2 linked regions of the Rattus norvegicus genome follow. The protein of the gene in region 1 purifies or fractionates together with the protein of each later gene. This does not show direct contact. Links are inferred from orthologs where the notes say so. Each region holds a gene or a part of one and is shown in the gene's direction. Other genes may lie near its edges.

Region 1 (2,416 bases):
TGGATTTCCCTGGAGCTCCTGGAGTTGGATGGGTCTGGGGAAGTTTGGTGCTAGCGTGTGGTCTTACGTGCTTCCCTCTGACCATTTAGGTGGGCACCTGTCTGAGAGCACTGGCCCGCCATAGGGAGGGCTCATGTCACGTCACCACGTAGTATGTCTGTGTCAGCCCCAGCCTTGTCTGTTTTAGGAGAACCACGCTGTGTGGCACCCTGGACTACCTGCCCCCGGAGATGATTGAAGGTCGGATGCATGACGAGAAGGTGGACCTCTGGAGCCTGGGGGTGCTCTGCTATGAGTTCCTAGTGGGGATGCCTCCTTTTGAGGCACACACTTATCAGGAGACCTACAGAAGGATATCACGGGTGAGCGCTGCTGTCAGGCTTCTTCCGAGGGTGGTGTTTATTCGTGCATACCTCTGACCCACGGTTCTTTTTATCATTTATTCTGTAGGTTGAATTCACATTCCCTGACTTTGTGACGGAGGGAGCCAGGGACCTCATTTCAAGACTGTTAAAACACAACTCAAGTCAAAGGCTAACACTAGCGGAAGTCCTTGAGCACCCTTGGATCAAAGCTAATTCTTCAAAACCTCCGACTGGCCACAATAGCAAAGAGGCAACTAGCAAATCGTCTTAGGGAATCTGGAGCCATGGGCATTGTGCAACTAACTGTGAGAAAGGTCCCATTGAAGCCGCCCAGACCATCATCGCTGCCCTCAGGGTGCCTTGCTGAGCAACTAGACCTTGGCCTTGCACCCAGGAAGCCCCGCCTGTTGCCCAGCCCCTAAGAACCATGCTGCTTTTTCTGATGTAATCTGGAAGGAAGGTTCCACTGCAACTGTCCCCCCCGGCCTATGCTCCAAGGTGTGGGGGTCTCTGTGGGAAATTACCAGTGATCACCTGTGTCTTAGCCTCCAAGTGCCAGTGTGTGTGTAACTTATTGGGTCACCAGGCCTGGAAAAGCTGTTGGAATGGATATGTAATCTTTTAGTGTCAAAATAAAGATTTGTATAGACTGTTTTTAAGGGACACCCATTCAAGGCCCTCCTGTTTTAAGCCTTCTGAAGCCCATGTGGGGTTCAGATCCTCAACCACTGTTCTAGAGCCTGTGCTTGGGACCTGCCTCAGGTGTTTCTGGATGTTAAAGGCTACTTTTTATGTTGTTCTGTCATGTATGCAACTTGTTAAATGTATAACTATAACACCTGCCTGGAGTCCATGGCTAATCCTTTGAGCATCTCTTCACTGCTGGCTCACCATGGGCAGCCGCCGTGCCTTTCTGACCTGCTGGATGTGCTCCAGTGCTATCTGTCCATCAACCAGAGGGGGACTTGGAATTAGACAAACAGGCTTTTATGGCCAACTTGGGATAGATGTCAGATGACTGGAAATGCGGGTGCCCAGGGCTAAATGTCATGCCAACTGGACCACCATCATGAAGTGGAGAACATGCTTGAGTGGAACTGCAGAGGCCCTCCAGTTGGGACAAGTGGCCTTTGGTCCCTGGTCCTGTCCTAAACTAACTGGCTTTGTTGAAGTAGCAACTGCCCAGCTGCAGTTAGGTGTGAGGTGGTTGAGGGAAGGAAGCCGAGCACGGGACACTGCCTGCTCTGCTCATGCTCTGTGAGTGTTGTTATGTGCAGATGACTGACACATTCCCACCGTGCTCTTCCAGTGATGGCTTACCAGATGACAGACCACACGCTTTTACAAAGATTTTTATTTGGTTCACAGACGAAGCCATTCACTTGGTCTGCTTAAAAAAGTAGAGACACAATGATTTACATCTTAAAATAGTTTCCTTGCTCCAGTTCTACTTAAAGATAGCACAGGAGCAGATCCGCTCTGCTTGTCTTGCTGGTTTATAGGGTGCAACTCATCCTCCTGGGTTCTGGCTGCTGGGTACAGGGCTGAGAGTGGGGTTAGGTTTGGAAAAAACATGGCTGTGGGTAGCACGAGTTGGCTTTTGTTGTGTTTCTTTGCATAGGTGTTAGGAGCCGAGAGCAGCTAGGGTGAGGATCCAGAGCCGGAAGCTAACGAGGCTCTTTGAACACAGGCTTGACAGTCCCCATCCTGTTTGCCTGCCACTGGCCTGGGGCATCTTGCTTAGCTTCGAGGAAGTCCTAGGAAATAGTTTCTGTAATGCATCCTGATTTGAAATCAGTGAAAGTGTTTTGGCAGTGGGAAAATAACAATCCCACTTCAGAGATCTCACAAACGGAAAATTTGCCTCGCAAAAACTCCTTTAAACGCTAACTGAGACAAATGATTCCGTGGGCAAGGAGACTGTCAGCCAGAGCTCTGTAAAATGCATTCTGCTAGTTAACAGTTCTTTCCTTTGTCTTCTGGCTGTCAATGCAATTTGAAAGGAATTGTGAGCAAGAGAAACGAATGCAGTCCTCTCCACCATGCAGCTG
Region 2 (3,652 bases), on another chromosome or scaffold:
AACCAGGGGGAGCCTTGTTGACACATGGGTTTTTCTTTGGGGAGAGAATTGTCCCTGGGCCCAGTACTTTTTCCAAGCCCCCAGTTTAGACTCACTTCCTTCTTTTCCCCAGCTGTGTGGTGGTGGTCTTGAACCCCAAGGAGAACAAGCAGCAACATATATTTAACACTACCAGGTAGGCTGGGACTGGGCATGGGCCAGGGTTGGGGGACCAGGGTGCTGGCCCAAATCCCCTTTCCTCTCCACAGAGCCTGGAGGTGTTTGTGGGTTCATTCCCTCAGCCGTGTTCATAGGACCTGCTTTGTGCTAAGTACTGTTCCAGGAGTTGGTGACCTAGAAGTGAACAGAGACAAGGATCTGCCCTCTAGAGTTCTAGACAGCATGGGAGACAGACCATGAGCCCACCAGCAGATTACTAGCTGATAAGGAGAGGAAAATGCCTGCAGGGCTGTTAGGAAAGAGAATGGGAACAGCTATATCAGAAGGCCTCCCTGAGTTTGAGCCCAAACAGAAGTAATGATAGCCATGTACATGCAAGGGCAGATGCGCAGCAGAGGTGAAGGGTCAAGTAACAGCAGAGTAGCCATGGGCCCAAGTGCAGGGGAGTAAGAAGGGGGAAGGGACTCTTAAGCAGAAGCTGTATCACCCCCTTGCATCTTAGAGAGGGCCCTGGATGTCATATGGACGTAAAGAGAAGTCACCGGATACATACACAGGCAGGGAGGATGGTAAATCATCTGTGGGCTTGTCAGGCTCACATAGAAGCACATGAACCTGTAATTCCAGCACTTAGGGTGCTGAGGCAGGAGGATTGTGAAGTGAGGCCTGAGCTACACAATAAGATCCTGTCTAAGAAAACAAAAACAAAAGTGTGTAAAAACTGGATTGAAATGAGGGGCTAAAGCTAGACAGTCTGGGCGTGGGCTTGCTTCCAAAGGCATGCCAGCTAAGTCGGCCCATGTTCAGGGGAGGTAAGAGGATCAGAGACTGGCTGGACAGATACTCAGTGGGTAAAGTCCTTGTTACGCAAGCATGAGGATCTAAATCCAGTCCCCAGGACACACATATAGCTAGGGATGGTGACATGGGCTTATATTCCCAGTGTTAGAAAGGTAGAGAGGCGGGGATCCCTGGTGCTCATTGACCAGCTAGTCTAGCCTAACTGGTGAGCCCTAGGTCCTCGAAAGGGACCCTGTCTCAGGAAAATAAGGCAGATAGCTCCTGAGGAGCCACACTGAAGACTGACCTTCGGCCTCCCTGTGCATTAATGCGCACAGGGTATTAGAAACATTTCAGTTGTTGGGGTTTCTAGAACACTCCATGAGGTATATCTGTGCCCTGTATACAAGGGTCCACCCTTGAGCACCTCTCCTCTAGTTAGGCTAAGCCTGTACTATTTCCTGCGCTTGAGTTTCAGGGCTGTGTTACAGGTGAGTAAGGTCCTGGAGAGCTCACTCCACACTGGGGGGAAGGAAACAGAACCTTGATTCTGGGTCTACAGTGTTTGGATTTGGTATTGAGGGAGGAGGAGACCTTTGCTTTTGTTCCATTCCCTGAGTGCCATGCTGGGCACATAGGCTACAGTGGCTGTGTAGGAGCTGACGCTTCTCCAAGCCTTGGGGACCAGGAGTGGGTAGAACGACAAGAGCACAGTGCTTGGTGGAACCAGTGACGACCCCTTTGCTTGTCCCCAGGAAGTCCCTGAGTGCTCTGGCCTTCTCCCCAGATGGGAAGTACATAGTGACAGGAGAGGTGAGTCTTGACTGAGCAGGTGGAAAAGGAAGGTCTGGGAGCCATTCCTTCTACTTCCTGCAGGCCCGGGAATCCCTGAATTGGCTCCTAGTTTTAGAAAAGCCCTGTGGTGAATAGGGGAGTGGCTTTTGGGAACAAGTTACAGCAGTGGCAGCTTCAGCTTAAACAGCCCCTCTAGCCCTATGTTAGTTGGGGGTTTACTGCTGTGAACAGACACCACGACCAAGGCAGCTCTTAGAAGGACAACATTTAATTGGGGCTGGCTTACAGGTTCAAAGGGTCAGTCCATTATCATCAAGGTGGAGGGCATGGCAATGTCCAGGCAGGCCTGGTGCAGGAGGAGCTGAGAGTTCTACATCTTCATCTGAAGGCTGCTAGAAGAAGACTGACTTCTGGGCAGCTAGGATGGGGGTCTCTAGCCCACACCCACAGTGACACACCTACTCCAACAAGGCCACACCGCCTAACAGTGCCACTCCCTGGCCCAAGCGTGTACAAACCATCACACTCTGCCTTGCACATAGTTCAGCAATAGTAATGGCCTCACTCCCTCTCTGTCCCCCAGAATGGGCACCGGCCAGCTGTGCGCATCTGGGATGTGGAAGAGAAGACTCAGGTGGCAGAGATGCTGGGCCATAAGTATGGTGTGGCCTGTGTGGCCTTCTCACCCAATATGAAGCACATCGTGTCCATGGGCTACCAACATGACATGGTCCTCAATGTTTGGGACTGGAAGGTGAGCACCCAGTGGGCATGTGGGTGTATGGGTAGGCAGGGAGTCACCAGCACCCTAAATCTTGGGCATTAGGGAGCACCTACCAGCCTATTGCCTGCTGTTGCACCATGCTCACGGTGAGGCCTCTGTCCCTGAGGTCACCTGGTGGCAAGGTAGAGTTTGGGCCATCATGTCTGTGTTGATGTAGGGAACAGATGGGGAACCAAGCACCCCCACTGTAAGGTTATGACAGAAGTATTATTTTTATGTTGACTAGCTATGACCGTGGACAAATGCCTTGACTGTTTCTGTAAAATGGTTTTTCTAGCATATGCCTCTTTGGTGTGTGGGCTGCAGCTCCCTGACATGCAGTCTAAGGCTGGGCTTTGTCTGCTTCAAACCCACCATGTGACTTTGAGCTCAGCCTGGCAGGGTAGAGGTTCCCACCTCCCGTGTGAGCTGGAGCCCATAGCTTATTCTGTGAGGGGTGAGGGGCAGGGCCCAGAGCAACAGTTCTTTGTGTGGTAGCCATAGATGGTATGGTCCTACCTCCCCTCCTGCTGTTGTCATTCCCAACGTGCGGCTATTGAGCTTGGCCCGTGGTGGGAGTTTTTCCTCTGTCACTCTTCTTGGGGACTAGGTTTCTTGGAGACTAGGAATGACCAGAGTTGCACACAGTTTCCCCTAGAGTTTAGATCACTGCCAGGTCCAAGAAAAATGGGAGAGAGAGCAGGGAGAGCACGGTGTGGAGATGGTGGGTGGTGCTGTGATCTGCTCTGTGCCTACTCTTTCAGAAAGACATTGTGGTGGCTTCCAACAAGGTGTCGTGTCGAGTCATCGCCCTCTCCTTCTCTGAGGACAGCAGCTATTTTGTCACTGTTGGCAATCGGCATGTTAGGTTTTGGTTCTTAGAAGCCTCTACAGAGGCCAAGGTGAGTTTTTGCCCCATTCCGGTTTTGCCCCCATAGCATGGCTCCTTTGTCTACCTGAAACTTGGTGGCAGGGTCTCCCAGGTCACCTGGCTTCTCGGGCATCCAGGTGCTGACTAATAATCCTGCTGGGCTCTGCCCCCAGGCCAGAGCTCACTGTTGAACCATTGCCTCCTGGCCCCTCTGCCCCGAGTATGCGTTCTGCTTTTCTTCCCTCTCCTCCACATGGAATATTCTCTTAAAAGTCCTTCTTTTC

What was found. Proteins that work in one complex are often made in the same cells at the same time.
Region 2: the proteins of Aurka (region 1) and Wdr62 purify together in Homo sapiens (affinity purification with mass spectrometry; 3 studies listed by BioGRID and IntAct, counting the BioPlex papers as one, with this or other methods). This does not show direct contact. The link is inferred for Rattus norvegicus from reciprocal best matches to the Homo sapiens genes AURKA and WDR62.

Annotation. Positions count from the first base shown.
Region 1 is NC_086021.1:181,546,119-181,548,534, reverse strand, and holds the end of Aurka (aurora kinase A), read left to right. Parts: intron 1-187; coding exon 188-362; intron 363-450; coding exon 451-636; 3' UTR 637-1,793; downstream 1,794-2,416. UniProt on the Homo sapiens protein: Mitotic serine/threonine kinase that contributes to the regulation of cell cycle progression.
Region 2 is NC_086019.1:94,647,934-94,651,585, reverse strand, and holds part of Wdr62 (WD repeat-containing protein 62), read left to right. Parts: intron 1-112; coding exon 113-175; intron 176-1,694; coding exon 1,695-1,752; intron 1,753-2,317; coding exon 2,318-2,488; intron 2,489-3,261; coding exon 3,262-3,399; intron 3,400-3,652. UniProt on the Homo sapiens protein: Required for cerebral cortical development. Plays a role in neuronal proliferation and migration.